Linked DNA regions of Astyanax mexicanus. The protein of the gene in region 2 interacts with the protein of the main gene of each other region in a biochemical or structural test. Links are inferred from orthologs where the notes say so. Each region holds a gene or a part of one and is shown on either strand. Other genes may lie near its edges. The genes, in order: sox10 and pax3a.

The links.
Region 1: the proteins of pax3a (region 2) and sox10 form a complex in vitro, tested with the Homo sapiens proteins (2 studies listed by BioGRID and IntAct). The link is inferred for Astyanax mexicanus from reciprocal best matches to the Homo sapiens genes PAX3 and SOX10.

The regions. Positions count from the first base shown.
Region 1 is NC_064410.1:9,706,968-9,716,655, reverse strand, and holds the start of sox10 (transcription factor SOX-10), read right to left. Parts: upstream 4,658-9,688; 5' UTR 4,505-4,657; intron 1-4,504. UniProt on the Homo sapiens protein: Transcription factor that plays a central role in developing and mature glia.
Region 2 is NC_064411.1:45,135,949-45,145,575, forward strand, and holds the start of pax3a (paired box protein Pax-3a), read right to left. Parts: upstream 4,528-9,627; 5' UTR 4,172-4,527; coding exon 4,087-4,171; intron 3,058-4,086; coding exon 2,822-3,057; intron 1,802-2,821; coding exon 1,672-1,801; intron 1,191-1,671; coding exon 1,047-1,190; intron 1-1,046. UniProt on the Homo sapiens protein: Transcription factor that may regulate cell proliferation, migration and apoptosis. Involved in neural development and myogenesis. Transcriptional activator of MITF, acting synergistically with SOX10.

The DNA.
Region 1 (9,688 bases), on a different chromosome or scaffold from region 2:
GGGGGTTTATTTAAAGCTGCAGAAAGACTCCAGCTTCCACTACACTATACCATCTACACTACACTACACCATCTATACTACACCATATATACAACACCATCTTTTTTGCGCTACACCATCTATACTGCATCATCTATATTACAAGATATCATCTATACTACATCAAATCATCTGTACCACATCAAATCATCTATACTACACTACACCACTTATACTACATCAAATCATCTGTACCACATCAAATCATCTATACTACACTACACCACTTATACTACATCAAATCATCTGTACCACATCAAATCATCTATACTACACTACACCACTTATACTACATCATATCATCTATACTACATCATATCATCTATACTACATCAAATTATCTATACTACATAAAATCATCTGCACTACACCATCTATACTACATCAAATCATCTATACTACAAATCCTCTACACTACCCCATCTACACTACATTACACCATCTACACTACACTACACCATCTATACTACATCAAATTATCTATACTACAAACCCTCTACACTACACCATCTACACTACACTACACCATCTATACTACACTACACCATCTACACTACATCAAATTATCTATACTACAAATCCTCTACACTACACCATCTACACTACATCAAATCATCTATACCACCTCCAATCATCTACAATAAACCATCTATACTACATCAAATCATCTAAACTACACCATCTACAACACTATCTATAGTACACCGTCTCCACTGCACTACACTATATATACTACACCATCTATATATCACAATACCATCTATAGTACACCATCTACATTAAAAGATGACATCTATACTACATCAAAATATCTTTACTACATCAAATTGTCTATACTACACGACACCATTTATACTACATTAAATCATCTATACTACATCAAATTATCTATACTACACTACACCATTTATACTACATCAAATTATCTATATCACATCAAATCATCTACACTACACCATCTATACTACATCAAATCATCTATACTACATCAAATCATCTATACTAAACTACACCATCTAGACTAAACTACTCTATTTATACTACATCACATCAACTACACTACACAATCTATACTACATAACATCAACTATACTACACTACACCATCTACACAACACTGTCTACACTACATTACACAATATATACTACACCATCTACATAACACTACACCATATATACTACACCATCTACACTACACTACACCATCTATACTACATCTATACTGCACCATCTATACTACACTACACAATCCACACTACACTACACCATTCACACTACACTACACCATCTACACTACTTTACAACATGGATACTATGCCATCTACACAACAGTACACATTCTACTCTACATTAGACCAACTGTACTTCACATTGCATACTGCATTACATTATTTATACTACATTACAGCATCTATACTACATTAAATATTCTACACTACACCACAATATCTATATTATACTACACCATCTATACTATACTACAGCATCTGTATTATACTACACTATCTATACTATACTATACTACACCATCTATATTATAAACCATCTATTGTGTATTACAAAATGTATTGTAGAGTACACTATCTTTGCAACTCTAATGTGTTTATTTATTGTGCATTTACAGTGTGTTGTTGTTTACTGTTTATTTATTGTATGCTGTTGTTGTTTATTCAGCTGTATTGGACTGTGACCCTGCTCTGTGTCTCGCGCTCCGCTGGGTAATTCTAGAATTATGTGCCCCTAATTCCTGCATGCCAGCTACCAAATCTGCACCCCCCACCACCCTCCACCCCACCCCAGTGCGCACACACACACACACACACACACACCCACACCCACACTCAACCTCAACACGCATACACAACTTAAACACAAGCATCATACCAGAACACCATGCCAAACCTGAACACACATTCACACATAACCTGAACACACATAACCTGAACACACCAAACGTTAACCTGAACAAACAATTAACCAAACCGAAACACAAAGACACACACACACAACCTGAACACACAAAAATTCGGAACATACATTAAACCTCAACACACACAACCCGAACATGCATGCTTAAACTCTCACAGCCTGAACACACAACATATCTGAACACACACAACCTGAACACATTGAACCTGAACACATAACAAATCTGAACACACACAACATGAGCATACATCCACACACAATCTGAACACACATAACCTGAACACACACCAAACGTTAACCTGAACAAACAATTAACCAAACCGAAACACAAAGACACACACGCACAACCTGAACACAAACCAATTCTGAACATACATTAAACCTGAAAACACACAACCTGAACACACACAACTCGAACATGCATGTTTGAACTCTCACAGCCTGAACACAGAACACATCTGAACACACACAACCTGAACACATTGAACCTGAACACATAACAAATCTGAACACACTCCCAAACTGAACACACACAACCTGAGCACACAAAAACCTGAGTTCACATCAGAAAACACTCAACCTGAACACACCTAACCTGAACACACAAAAACTGAACACTTATCAGAAAACACTCAACCGGAACACACACTTAACCAAACCTGAACACAAAAACACACAAAACCTCAACAAACACAAACATCTAAACATTCATTAAACTTGAACACACACACAACCTGAACGCACATGCTTGAACACTCACAGCCTGAACACACAACACATCAGAACACAATGAACCTGAACACACACAACCTGAACACACATTCACACACAACCTAAACTCACATTTACACACAACCTGAACACACACACAACCCAAACATGCACCACATGTCAACCAACAAACACAAACACTTGAACACAAACAAACACACAACTTCAACACACACCAAGTCTGAACATTCATCAAACCTGAACACACACACAAACAACCTGAACCCACAAGCTTGAACACTCACAGCCTGAACACACAACACATCTGAACACACACGACCTAAAAACACATACAACCTGATCACACAACAAACCTGAACCCACAGCAAACCTGAACACACACAACCTATACACACAACACATCGGAACACAATGAACCTGAGCACACACACAACCTGAACACACACAACCTGAACATGCACCACATGTCAACCTGAACAAAACATCCCTACATTTATCAAACCTGAACACACACATAATCTGAACACACACAACTTGAACACACACACAACCTGAACACACACCAACCCTGAACACAAACACCGCTCGAACATACACCCAAACTGAACACACACCCAACCTGAACACACATATTACCTAAATAAACACAACATGGACACTGTCTAAATATAACTTGAACAAACATCAAACCCAAACACACTAAATCTGAACACACGCACAACCGGAACAGACAAACACGTACCAAACTACAATTCACACAACTGGAACACACAAAAACAGAACAGACACGCTAAATCCAAAAGCACACAAACAGCCAGAGAATTCACTAAATCTGAACATACACCAAACTAAACATACACACAACATGAACCCACAGACAACACACCAGAAACATACAAAACATATACACTCAAATTAAACACAGAAAAATATGCAACCAACCTAAACACACAACATTCACAAACACTTAAAAAAAAATAAAACTATGAACACACACAGATTCAAACACACCCCAGAAGTGCTCAAGTTCTCATTTTGAGTGTGTAAGCGGAGCTTCGCAGTGATCTGTCTCAGATATAATTCTCTCACTGCTCTGTTCTGTCTAAAACAAACCACTTATGTTTAAATACAAACAAAAAAACTGAAAACATTATAATTAAATGGTTTCATTAGTTCATTAATAAATTTTGTCAAAAGGATAGTAATTGAAATAATACATTTTGTTAAATGTTGCTACCAAATTAAGTATAACTCAATATAATAGAAAAAATAAAAATAAATAAACTAGAAAAAATAAAAATAAATAAATAAATGAATAAATGATGGTTTAAAATTGTATTTAGTCTCTTTATAAATCTGTTTTTAATGTCTATAAATCCGTTTAATCATCAATAAACCGTTTTTTATGTTATTATTATTATTATTATTATTATTATTATTATTATTATTATTATTATTATTATTATTATATGAATGCCTATATTATATATAATTTTGTAAAAAAAAATCCGATTCTGAATTATACTATATCAAAACGTATCCTATTACTTTTATATTAATTTTTATTCTTAAATATATTCATATTGGCTCCTCATACTGTGCGCGCTTGATTCGTAATAGCATTAAATAATAATATTAATAATAATAATAATAATAATAATAATAATAATAATAATAACAACAATAATCATAATAATAATAATAGATTAGCATTTAGGTTATTATCGCGAACTCTCTTTCTCCTCTGATTAAATCTAAATTATTAAAACTAAATTAATAATAATAAAGTTAAATAATGTGCTTACCCCGCTCTCTCTCTCTCTCTCTCTCTCTTACTCTCTCTCTCTCCCTCGCTCGCTCGCTCGCGCTCCCTCCGCTGCGCGTGTCCGTGTGCTGCTGTATGAATGCGCTCTCTGTGCTGCGCGCGGGACTTAAAGAGCGCCGTTGTGCGCGAGAGAAAAAAACAAAACAAAAAACGACCCGAGAAAAAAATAGTTCAGACCCTTAAAGCTGCAGCAGCTCTCCGCTGATAGGCTGCGGGGAAGAGCGCCCCTCGCGCTGCTAGAGCCTCGGAGATTGGCTGTCTGTTCGGAGGGGCAGGGCTTCGACAGCTAATCGGCAGCGCAGAAAGAGGCTTCGTTAATTTATGCATTTAATTATTTGAATTTTATTACATTTCTTTTCATTTGTTATTGCAACTTAATAACATTTATTATCACTTTATAGAGCTATTTTTATAAGGAATAAAAAACATTAACATTAAATATAGAGACATATTTTATTAAAAACTTCCACACAACCACAGAACCAAAACAACAATGCTACTGTGGAATTTCAGCACACACTTATTGACTGTTTGTTTGGTCGTGTGCATCTTTAAGAATTGTTTGAGGCAAAATATATTATTTTTAACAATGACGTGTCGTAATTATTTAAAGTGTAAACTGGATCTTATTCATAAATCACATAAACGGTGTGGCTGTGTGTATATGTGTAAATGTGTGTGTGTGTGTGTGTGTGTGTGTGTGTGTGTGTGTGTGTGTGTGTGTGTGTGCATAGATGACCGTTCTTCACGTGGTCGGGTTTTGCGTTTGAACGTCTGAATGTTTCCGCGCGGCTTCTTTCATCTGTCCCGCGCGCTCTAAATCGCTCTCCCGCGGGGTCACAGAGGGGCAGATACCCACGGGCTCTGTTACCCACACAGGAGCAGCCGAGTCCCGAGCCAGCACCTGCTGCGAACGGTTAAATTATAGCTATTAAAGCGCCATTACTATTATTATTATTATTAGTAGTATTAGTATTATGATTATTATTATTAGTAGTAGTAGTAGTAGTAGTAGCAGTCAATTCCATTTAACTCAAATCAATGAAACAAAGCAAAACAAGTTGTTACACGCTGTAATTATGTAAAATAATATATTTTAACGTGCAAATGTCCATGACTCGTGTTATGTGTTCTTTACAAAGACTAAATGTCTATGTGCCTGTTTGTCTTTATCAATGCCATTAAAAAATTTGAAAACGTGAGAGACAGAGAGAGAAATTAATGTGTGGTCGACTTTTATTCGTTTGAAGTCCTGATAGCCAAGAACGCTGAATTAATGTGTTTTTTTATTATTAATGAAAAAAAAACAACCTTTAAACGACCTTTAATTGTTAAGTGTTGAAAGTGTTGAAATCCGACATTAAATCAAAGTTCATTTAAAATGCTTTGAATGTTTGGGACGCTTTAAAATAACAATGATTTTAGGTGGAAACTGCTCTCCACAATGAATTAATATTCGAATTTAAATATTTATTTTTACACTGCAATGACAGTACAACTTATACGAACGTTGAATCGTAAAAGTGTAAAATCGATGGACACAAATGAACCAACCCTGATCCACGTTGTTTCAATGCATTAGGTGTAGAAATATGAATAATATGTATAAATTGATTCAACGTAATTTTGATATCTGGGAGATGACGTTTACACCAACCTCTCACGTACTAGATGCTGCTGCACGTTGTAGAAGAGTTTTACAATTATCTTTGAAATCTAAGTTCGTTCATTCTGTTTCATTTGGAATTCGTTTTTGGGTTTTTTAAACGATTAAAACAGTTTGGGATTCTCCAATATTCGTGTATGGATTTTTTTTTTGCCGTGCGCGCGCACAGGCAGGGCTCCCAGTGCCACACAATCGCCATCAACACCACTTTTGATGCGGGTGTTTTCCCTCTTGTAAAAGCAAAAACAGAAACTAAAAAAAGTAAAAAAAAAAACATTCTGAAAAGTGTGAACGGATTTGAAGTTATTTAAAGTATTTGTACGATTTTTACGATGTATATTACGATTTTTTTCAACTGCGATTGTATTAGTGGGCCTACAAGCTTTAGATTTTACATGTAACGTTTGTTTTTATTATGAATACGATTTTTGTACCATTTGCACGAACGAAAATTGTTGTGCGCGGATGGAATTATTTTACAATAGTTTAAATTATTCTGAACAGTGTATAAATCTACATCCTTTTCTTTTGAAATTCTTGTCGCGTGCGCGCGCACGCAGTTCCTGCAGCGCACCACCGTCGCCGCTACTGCGGCTGTCGTTCGGCCACTGTTGAACGGTGGGCATCCATCGCGCGCCTGTAAGGTTGGTGTGTGGCGTAACCGCGTACATCAGGGTTTATCGATGAGGCAGAGCGCGCGATGGATGTGTAGAAGCAGCAGAACAACCTACAGAATGGAGAGAGAGAGTCTATAGTGAAAGGAGAGATGGAGATGGTGGTGGGGGGGCTCACGCGCACACAAACGCGCACGCTGTTCTGCTTAACAATAAGGCCCTGTGTTTGTGTGTCTCGCGCTCCCCACACCCCACCCCTCCTCCACCTCCAAAAAATCACTGACTTTTTCATCAGGCATGAATGTGGAGTGTGATAAGGAGATGCACGAGAGCATCTCTCTCCCTCTCTCTCTCTCTCCCTCTCTGTGCGTCCTTTGTTTTATCTCAGGTGAATTGTAATCATGTGATCAAACGCGCGCGCCCCCCCTCTTTAAATGAAGAAATGAGAACAGAAAGCAGTTCTGTGTTTATAAAGAAAAAAAAGAGAAAGAAAAGAGAAAAGACTCTCTCTCTCTATTCGGCGCGCGCGTGTGTGTGTATGTGATGGTCCTTTCTTCCTCGTGTCCTTCCAAACGCACATTTGCAGTAAAATGCAGCTACCGCCGATGCTAGCGCACCTTTCCTGGCCTGTTGGCGCGCGCGGACTCATCCCAGGATCTGCGGCCTCGCGCACCTCTCAGTGAGTGTGGAAGTGTGTGTGAGTGTGTGTACGAAAATGTTTTCTATTATGGGTTCTCATGATCCAAGGTAAGAGCTCAGTTGAGAGCTCGCGCACAGACAGAATAAGATGGGAGAGTGTAAGCGCCCGCGCGTGCGTGCGTTTATACTGGTATTGTGTTTGTGCGGCTGTTCAGGTGAGCTCAGGCGCTGTGGTGAAAATCAGCGTGCGCAGGGAAGCTGTGCATGTGTGTGTGCGTGTGCTCGTGCCTGAGTGTGGGTTGGGGGGCGTGTTGAACTTGAGTAAAAATTGTTAAATGTATAAATATGTGTTATACATTATATATGTTATTAAGTGTGTTATTTATTATAATTTATGCAGTGCGAAGCTCATGAATATTTAAATGACGTGACAATGTCAGGCAAAGGTGTCAATGTCAGGGTCGGCGCATTGGTCATTACTGAGGTTTAATACTCATGCCCTAATTCTGATTGGTTGAAAAATCGTTAATATTATAAAAAAATACCTACTTAATTTTTTTGGTAAATGTCTGTTTGTTTATTTGCTAATAGTCCGCGCGAACGTACGCAGTGTCACTTCCACAGTTCTAACTAGCAGCAATTGGTTAATTACAGCTAATATGATCAATTAATTACAGTCAATGTAATTACAGTTACTCACAGATAATATAATCATTTAATTACTGCATATGTAATTAATTAATTGCTTTGGAAAAAAAACTTCGGGAAAACTGTAGTAACTGGCCTTTTATAGCGGAAATTAGTGAATCGCGTGAGAGATAAGAATTTATAGCAATTAGAGTATTAATTCGTTAAAAGTAAAGTATTACAGCGCGCGGTTATTAAAGGCGCAACGAAAACAATTAAATTAAACATCTAACGGTAAACAGATATAGAACGGTTCATGGTACAATAATAATTAATATTAAACATTTTTATTAATAAATTAAGGCTCAAATAAATCATTTTTAATTAACTTTAAAAATTAGAAACAATACTGATAATAATAACAACAACGATAGTAATAAGAAGAAGACAAACAATACGAGCTTTAATATATTTTTATTGATATGTTTAGTATTACATTTCTAAACAACTGTAAATTGTAATAATAATAACAATAATAATTGTTATTATTGTTATTATTATTGTTATTATTATTAGTAGTAGTAGCAGAAACCAAAACTATAAAAATATTCATAATAATAATAAAAAATAATAATAATAATAAAAGGAAGAAGAAGATAATGATAACGATGAAGAGTAAAGAAGAAGAACGTAATATTATTTTAGTATATGATTCACGTATGTATAACAATTCTTACACATATTATATGAATAATAAAAAAATATTGATTAAATGATCAAATAATAGGACGACGAATTATTTTAATACTGATGCTATAAAAGAAAAATAATCTGTTTTATATGGCGCGTAATATTCATATATATATATATATATATATATATATATATATATATATATATATATATATATATATATATATATATTTTAAACGCGCAATATAAAACAGATTTTTCACATATATAGTTGTGAGAGATGTACATGCGCAGTGTGTGTGTGTGTTAAGGGTAATGGCGATTATTCAAATAAACAAGGACAACAGCGAGAGCACGCGCTGTGTGTGTGTGTTGTGCATTAGTCTGCAGGAAGGGAAGTGTGATTTTCTGCTGATGCTGATAGTGATGATGGTGATGACAATAATCTATTCATAATCGGAGCTGAAACTGATGATCTGCGTTTTTCGCATCCAGTATGAATTGCTATAAAAATTATATTACTCCTCTATTATTCATCAGTAATTTTTAAGGTCTGGTGTTTAAAACCAGAGAAAAACCGAACCACCAAAAATAATCCTGATTCTGTTAAATGTTGAACATCTCCAAGTAGCAGTTTTATCTCAATGCTTTACAAACTTATATAATTTGAACGTTATAGCCTGACACTGTTTAAAGTGTGTGTGCGCGGTGTGTGTGTGTGTACCACTGCTGTGCTGTCAGCAACATGTGACTGTGGTGATGCTGCCGGTTGCCGTGGGAGACATTTGTCAGGGTGAATGTTGTTAGGAAGAGACCCTCGTGCTCACGAGGGTCAAAAGGTCAAGCTCAACCCAGAACCATGTGGATCTCATGACAGGGTGCTCTCTCTAAGGTACAGTTATCACAAATACACACACACACACAC
Region 2 (9,627 bases):
GATCAACAAGTGTTAGCTGGAGTTAGGAGCTGGTCTCGGGTTAGTGCTGCGCGCTCGTATTGTGCCACTGGGATGTGAATGGCGATTTTAGCTTTTAGTATAAGAAGAATTAGAGAAGAAGTCTCCATGGAGATATTTTGCAGATGAAAATGCTTCTCTAAAGCCGCTCTTTTTCTTGAATAATTCATCTCTCATTGACCGTCCATAATGTTTCTCTGTGCGCCTTTTGTTGCCCCGTTTTCTGCCCCCTTTCTCTCGCGCGGAGTCGCTGCAGCGCGAGGCTCTTTTGTGCGTCATGGACTCGCGCGCTTTTGTCTCCCAAGTTCATCCGCGAGTCGCGCGATTGTGAGCCGCTTTTAGCGCGAGCCATTGCTGGACAAATGTTTGGTTAGTGTTTGGTTGAGCGCATTCACGCGCACTCACTCACTCACACACATACACACACAGAAGCTGCAGTGGTAACCTGCAGCATTGGCACTAGCAACCAGTAAGCAGCTCGATCAAGATTTCTTCGAACTTCTATATACAGTGTGTTCAGGCTAGTCACATTGAATTCAGATTAAAATGACCCAGTTATAGACTTTGGAAACACGTGTAAAACGGAGTGCCTCCCCAACCACTTGCACTCTACAGGTGCACATACAATACTAACTAGACAAGAAAAAGCAAAAACAAAATCAACCTGTCAATTACTGCATGTTCATTACTGTAACATCCATTTCTGAAGCTGTTTTAAAAATAATGTGAAAAAAAAAGATAAAGAAAATGTGTTCACGTTTTCTGCAATAATCCGAACACAATTTGAACTCAACTACTTAAAGGCTATCTATTCCACTAAACACCGGTAGTTCATCCATTATACTACTAAAAAAAATAATAATAATATTATTAAATATTAATAATATTAAAATATAAACAGAATCCAGACAGTTGTATTAAAAACACTGGTTGCATTGTCAGATCACACCGCTGTACTTGCAAACACAGTACTACATACAGGTTCTACCCAAAGAAAGTGAGGAACAAAGAAATTCAGTACAACTCACATCTGTCTCCCAAAATGCCATCTATGCTGTGTTTTGCTCTCCTTTCGTTCTCTTCCATTTCCCTCTTTTCGATCTCATCGTCGTCCTCCTCGTCTTCTCCATTCGCGCCAAATTTACAGCGCATTATGCGGCTGATGGAGCTTACTATAGTAGGACAAAATACAGTAATAATACATCCGTTAAACTGAACCTTTCTCTTAAGAAAGAGCGGTAAACTGTTTAAAAATTGCTATTCTGTAACTACCAATTTTGAACAGCTTGCCAATTAATTTAGTTATTTACTTACTTAATTAAAAAAATAACATACTTTCAGTTTTGTTTTTTTACTTAATGTTCTGCATTTTATCTAAATTTTAAATCGGTAATGTTAAGCAGATGCCCACTGGGATGTTTAGCTCTCTCAGCAGGATTTCCCTATAGAAAACCTTTTAGTGTATTATTAAATTTGTGTTAAATTGTGCACGACCTACATACTATATCAAATTGTTTTATTTTTATACCTATAACGTGTAATTTTATATATATATATAATAAAATATATATATATATAATTTTTAAAACTCATAGGAAAGGAAGGAAAATTGTGAACCGGTTAAGAAGCGGGTAAAAAAGAAGTGTGTGTTACCTGAGGGCACAGTGTTTCTGTCACACACTCCATCCTTCAGCAGCTTGTCCCGGATCTCCCAGCTGAACATGCCCGGGTTCTCCCGCTTGTACTCCTCGATCTTTTTGTCCAGGTCGGGACTGGAGTTTTGCTGTAAAAAAAGAAACATCATAAGAAGGAAAAGGTCAGTTTCAGAAACTGGGTGAAAAAAGGTAAAACAGTTCTACACTTTAACTTTCTGCATCTAAATATTCAAAACAAATAAAGAGTATAATAACATAATAACAATAATAATAATAATAATAATAATAATAATAATAATAATAATAATAATACACTGTAGTTATTATTTTATTTTTATAATTTACACATTTTGTATTATTTTTTTATTTCTAAACTAATAAATGAACGGTTGTTTATTTTATATTTTAAAATGTATGTTGTTAAAATAATTTTGTATCGCAATTATTTGTTAAATAAATAAATAACGCAAGCTCTTCCAAAATGATGATTAATTATTGTATTTATTTTTTACTTAAATACTGCCAAAATACTTAAAGTAATAAAAAAAAGTTTAAAATAATTAACGCATAACATGTTACATTTCAATATTATTATAACAGATACATTAATAACACAATAATTCAATAGATAGATAGATAGATAGATAGATAGATAGATAGATAGATAGATAGATAGATAGATAGATAGATAGATAGATAGATAGATAGATAGATAGATAGATAGATAGATTTAGTGTTAATGTTATGACTGTATAACCTAATTTGAGTATTAGATAAAAATACTGGTAGACAGCAAGTTCAGTGTTTCTAAAGAAAACATGGCAGGTTTTTGGTGATATATATTTTTCCACGTCCTCAGGGCTGAGTTAACGAATGCAGTGTTGAATAAACTCTTACAGTGCTGAATGAACTCTCACAGCATTCATTTGTGCCCAGCTGGACTTAAACGGACGCTGCAGGTGTTCATTCAGCACTGGGGGCATTAATTCAGCACTGGGCATTTAGTTGTGCACGTGCATTATTAAACAGTGACTCGCCGTCTTTTAGCACCCTGACCGTTACAGCAGGACAGCGGGCTGAACTTGGAGGACAGGGTATCAGTCCTCCAGAGCTCACACACGGCCTGACTCAACCCTGCGCCGCAGTACCTTGGGCTTGCTGCCCCCGATAGCTCCTGGTCTAATGGATCCGGTCTCCTGGTAGCGGCACAGGATCTTGGAGACGCAGCCGTGAGACACACGCAGCTGGCGAGAGATGACACAGGGCCTGATGCCGTGGTGCGCCATCTCCACGATCTTGTGGCGGATGTGATTGGGCAGTGGGCGCCCGTTGATGAACACGCCGCCGAGTTGGTTTACACGACCCTGTCCTAACGGCGTGGAAACTGTAAGAAAAAAAACATTGTTAGTATACAGATATCTTTAATATAGACTCTCGTAATAATACGTTGTAAACAATGTGCAACAACATGAAAACTAATGAAAAAAGGAATGATAAACAAAATTGCATATGCTGTATTTATTTTGTTTTTAACATCAGTATTAATAGTAGTATCATTAAAGAAATGTAATACTAATAATAATACTACTTCTAATAAAAATAACAGTGCCTTGGCACTTCCTACTTGGACCCCTAATAGCAACGTCATTGCTGACATGCAAAAATCCAAAACATCCAAAATATCACATTTACAGAAGAAGAAAGAAAATAACTTTCAACAGAAGTAAACGTAAAACATATTTAATTTCATATTTAATTCAGATCATTTTCATTGGGTCATTTCCCATGAAATTGTAACACATTGTAAGGAAGAATTGCCAGTTTCAACGTTATAAAAAATGGAAAATGGAGGTACATTTTTTGTGTGACAGCGACGATATGCTTGTAAACTATTGTTGAACGTTTGTCAAACTGTAACCTGTTGCTGGCACCCGTTGTCTTCATTTTACTAAAATATTTTCTAAGTTAAGTTGCAATCATTGCATTATAGGCCTGCATTATTTACTTTATTGTATATGCACTTGCATAAACACATCCTTAAAAGAACAATACATTATTTCAACGAAATCAAACAGTCTGTCAGGACATTACCAGAACTTTTTCGCGGGCATTCAAACGATTATCCTTTAATTCTGACAGTCACAAGACTAAAGGCTTTGGCCCTTAGCGATGAATCTCTATTACACTGTAAACACACAGCAGTCAAACCCCCTCTAACAGCGAGAAGTTACTTTTACTGTGCTAAATAATGTGTGTCCATTTGCACTCGTATAATGGCTGTAGATGTTTAGCGTCAGTGTTCAGCATCTGGTGCTTTGCTGAGGCGTTACTAAAATACCTGTTAGTCTAAATGAAAGGTGTATAGTTTACAGGGTCTGAGGCTTTCAAAACAAGTGGTGCTGCTTCCTCCTACCTTCTAGAGAGTAGCCTCCTCTTGGATAGTTCTGGGGTGGCGTGGGGCGCATCATCCGGGGAATGCCCCCTGCTAAGGCGGCCATAACTCTTGTTTTTCACTCTTCGCACGCTGAAAAAGCGACAAAGAGTGAACTTTATCTAGAAGATGAGTGTGTAAATGCTCCACTTGTGGCTCAGGCTAATGCTGTTTTATCTCTCCAGTTAGCCTGAAGACGTTCCAGAAAGTGTCACTTTCCCTGAAAGTCAACTTCGACGCACACAAAAACATACACACACACACTAGAGACGCAAATCCTCCTCAATGATATGTAAAATAATATCCAAGATAGAAAACTGCTGGAAGAATATCAGAAGTCTGGTCGCTCTTCGCTCTTGTTGACACGTCTGTCGCTGGGTTTGACTCCGCCGCTCAGACCCTAAAACATTTTATCAGTTGTTGAGTTGTAGCGTCCTCCGGCGCGTCGAGCCAGCTGATTGGTCGACAGAAGGAGCCAGAGAAGCGCTCTGATTGGTCCACCGGTAGAAAGTTGCTTGACCTCGAGGGTTCAAGGCGATGTTGCTGTGATTTTGAGTAAACTCTAGCAAGACAAAACGAAAGATTCTGGTTTACTCGTGGAGAAAACCACTCCAGCTTTCTCTTTTTCCTGCTCCGTCTTTCAAAAAGAAATTTACGAAAGTGTCTTGTTTGTGAAATTGGATGAATTTCAATACTAACAGATGATAGTTTCCCCTAACAAAACTCTCCATTTAGCACAACAACATCCAGACGGATACTGAGGGGCGCAAAAAAACAGCAAGTTGTGGTGGTTACGACGGCTGTGGCTCGGTTTTTGTCGTGTTTAGAAAGTGCTTAGCTGCTGAAAGGGGCAGGAGTGGAGGGTCTCAGCAGGGTATGACGCCGAGAGAGCCGTAAAAAGTGTCTGTGAAAAAAAGGATGCGATTGTGAAGAGCCCTTATTTATAACTCTGTGACATTCAGTAGGCCCATACACCTCTCACTCTTTCATGCGTTCTTTGTATCTTGGAATTACTCAGCTTATACTACTCATACAGTCCTCTCTCCCTTTTCTCTCTCTCTCTTTCTGTTCTCCTTTTATATTTCAGTTACTCTGTTTACACATACAACTTTATTTAATTATTTAAGTCTTATTATTTAAGTCTTTCTGCGTATATACTGCATATATCCCGTTTTCCTCATTTTTCTCACTCAGTTTATTGAATTCAGAAAAAAATCACTTCAGTCATTTAATTCATGAGACTCTCTTTTTTCTTTTTGTTACTCCTTAGTCTCTTTCTCTCAATGTCTTTCTCTCACTTTCTCTGTGTCTTTGTATCTTTCAGTTACTCGTCTACTCATACAACTCTCACTCCCTCTCTCGCTTTTTCTTTCCGTTTAGTTCCTCTCTTTTGTAGGAGCTCATTGAGGCCCTCACGTCAGTCAAGTGGTCTCTGTTCATTCAAAGCCCCTCGATCGATCACTAGACTGGAAGAGTGCTATCACACAAAACAATGCTTGGCTTTTTTCTCTACTTAATCACAAAGACTACTGCAGCACGGGATCACTCACACACCCCGCGCCACTGTATACACACTTTTTAGAGTAAAGAATACCTAAGGGGGTGGGTGCACCTGTAAGATCTGTAAATTACAAGTGATTAAAATCTATCTATCTATCTATCTATCTATCTATCTATCTATCTATCTATCTATCTATCTATCTATCTATCTAGTTTCTAGCTAGCTAGCCAGCTAACTTGCAGGCTGGCTATCTATCTATCTATCCTAATGTGACAAATCCGCCGGCTGTCATTCTCGCTATTCCTAGGAGGGTCTCGCGCGGACCGTTAGAGCGGCTCGTGCTCTCCGGGGACCTAAAGGCTAAGCTGCACGGCCCGTTCAGTTCTCTCTCTCTCTTTCTCTTTCTCTCTCTCTCTCTCTCTCTCTCTCTCTCTCTCTCTCTCTCTCTCACGCACATGCACACACAAACACACACACACTTGTAGTGCGCGCGCCGGTCCCAGGTGCTCTATAAACGGATTAGCACTGCTCTACAGCACTTAATACCGCACACTGTAACACACCTCATCATCTCTTCATGCCCGGCCAATGCACCGCTATGGAGACCTAAAACGTGTATCGGAACATATTGATTGTTTAATTAAATGACTGAATACCTAAACAAACAAGTAAATAAATAAGGAAGATTTCAGCAATGCATCATTGGTTAATTTAGGATTTCTGTGAATTACTGAAGTGGAATAATAAGCAACTGAAATATCATATTTTTTAAGTAACGTATGAGCCATGTTAATTAGCGTAATAATAATTTATTTATTGTATTGTTAGCCTCATTATTTTTCTTCTTCTTCTTCTTCTTCTTCTTCTTCTTCTTCTTCTTCTTCTTCTATTAATAATAATTAATATCATTATGACTATTGCTGTTGTTATTACTGTCATCATAACGGTTTTTTTAATGGTATACTCTGCTCCATCAGTTCGCTTTAAATAAATGCGCGGCTCCACCAAAAATCCTCGGAAGGGACGCTGAGAGCAAACGGAACAGCAGCAAAAGATGGAAATGAGGTCTCCATTAAGCGCTCATTCGCTCCATTAACATCTCTGGCTCTTTGTGGACGTGAAAAGAAACTTCAAATGTTGTGTTACCGCAGGGCCGAGGGGACAAAGGCGCACGAGGGGGACGGAGGGAGAGCACACGGGAGGCCATTCACGTGCTAACGGAGGACTTGTTCTTATTCTAACACCAAACTTCACAGGAGATAACTTCAGAGGGGAGCTCGCGATGCTACACTAATTCAATATAAGGTGCATCCGGGACCTTAAGGGGTTCGCCGTTACAATCTTGCGCTTGTCAGTTTGCTTCAGTGATTCAGTGCAAGTAGGCCTGCCTGAAAGTCTATGCGGCCAAATAAGACATTTAGTAATATACCCTTAGTCATTAACACGTTTAAGGTGTGCTTATATTAGTACATTATTAGAGTTAACAGTGACTGATGTCAACGCAAACTAGCACATTTTTCCAACTGAACGAAGAAAACCTTAGAATCAAATGCTCAAAGTATTTTAAGAGAAATGAAAAATACTAAATATACATACATGCAATATACAAAAATACTAAATATACATACTCTGATTAAAGCATTCAGCTACTGTATGTTGCTGAGCACAGTACCATTGCTGGCACAGATGTGCAAATGCACACACAAAGCATGTCTCTCTAGAGCATAAACATGAACCGATTGGCACCATGCCTAATGCCAGGCATGGGCTAGAGGGGTACAAATTCCCCCAGCATTTAGCTATGGAACAGTGGAACTGTTTTCACTGGTGGGTAAATGCCTCATCCAATATTTTTGAGATGAGTTGGTAAGTTTGGGATAAGATGAATAGTCTGAATTCTCTTTTTTGTAAAAAAAAAAAAAAAAATCTACTCAAATAAAATCAAATCCTCACAGCAATGCATCATAATAAAGTACAAAGCCTTTTCTGGACCACAAAGACAGTTTTTCCCAAGAAAAGCCCCAATATTTTGGCAGTATAGTGTAACATTATCTGGTTTTTCAACATATCATCATATTTTGCCACATGGCATATCACCAAGCACACTGTCCTATTTCTAACACACCATCCCATATTATTTAACACACTGTCCAATATTTCCTAGCACACTGTTCCACTGTCCCATTTAACCCAACACACTGCACCATATTACCTAACACAAATTATCTAACACATTTTCCCATATGTAATAAAGTGTCATATTAAACCTAACCTTTCTACATTACCTAACACTGTACAATAACACTGTAAATTACTATATAACGTCCCATAATACCTAACACACTGAGCCACAATATCAGATTACCTAGCACATGGTGCCACATTAATTAACAAACTGTTCCATATTACTTGATGCACTGTTCCATTTTGCCTAACACACTGTCACAAAATGAGTATATGCCTACTAATTCCTAACATACTATCTCACAGTGCCTAACACAGTACCCCATCTGATATCTGATATCCAATAGCATTTTTCTGGATTACATAAAATAGGATTTGTTAAAGGAATAGATAATAGGCCTACAACAACTTTTTAAAACTTAAAATGAGGTCACTGAGATACTGACATTAAGTTTTGAGAACTATCACTAAAATACATTTAGAGAACAATCACTACAATCACTTATAATACCAAATATAATTGCAAATAAACATATTTGGCATCTTAACTTGCAAGAATAAAAAGGATATGGTCAAAAGCAATGGGTATGTGGAATACGCTTTAATTGTGTATAGTATGAAACTGTAAAAGCCATCAAATATGTATATATACATATATAATAACGGTGTACTGCAGGTGTTTGGTGAGTATGTATGTGTGCGCAAATTAGCTTGGATGAGATAAACATGCCGTAATAGCCTAATTTCCTGAACTTTGCTCGAACATGAAACTGGATGTTTGAGAGCAGAATTTCTTGTATATTTACTGCAGCGTTTTAAAAGCCCAATAAACACTGCTTATGATGTTTTGAGGCAGGTCAGATCGGCTGAGGGAGCAGAGCGGGTTTAGCTGTAACTCAACTCCGTCCTAAACTGAGGGGGAAATAGTGCTGGAGAGGCCGTTTGATTGCGCTTAAAGGGACACTGGATATCCATGTCAAATCAATTCTCGAGTGAAAAATCCCAGTCAGAAATTTTCTCCGTCAGTGGGAGAAAAAAAACATCATAAATAAAGAAGCGAATGTCACATTGGAGACGAAGGCAGAAACGCGACGGGTTCACTTGAATCTAAACCAAAATAACCCCTGGGATGCTGGAAAGACTTTATTAAATTCGAGCTTTTTGGGCCTCTGCAGCGTGGACATGCAAAACAGATCAGTGCGGCTCTGGACGCGGCAGATTAGCCAAACAGCAACAGACTGCTGACCTCGGGAAGCTGGCCTTATTTATATTCACATTCAGAGCTGCAGATTTTTAACGTTTAATCGTCTAAAACGCAGTGTAATGCTATGCTATCGTTAGGGGTCCCAGCACTGATGCTGCTGAAGCCCTGTTTGGAACTGGTGAGGCGTATCACACAACTTTCCCCACCAGTCCTCTGACTTCCGCAGCTAGTTATTTCAGGAGACTTTTATATAATCGCCATACCCTTCAGTAATTATTTCCCACACTGTGAAAATCAGTGTTGGTCTAACACTAACGTGACACTAACGTGACGGGATGCTTTCTGGAAAGTTTCCAGTGAACTCTTGCAGGCGATGCCATTATCCCAGCTACAGCTCGCCTGCTGTTTGCTTTTCATGGTAAGTAAATGTTGCCCGCTGATGTTTAGGTTTGTCAGTGTGTCAGGGCAGACAGTCTGTGACACCTAATTTATTTAGCCTATTAATTATTGTTGTTATTGTAGTTATAATCAAAATTAAATCTAAAATCTAAGAAGAAAAATAATCCAAAAACTACATTTTACATTTATTTTATTATTATTATTATTATTATTATTATTATTATTATTATTATTA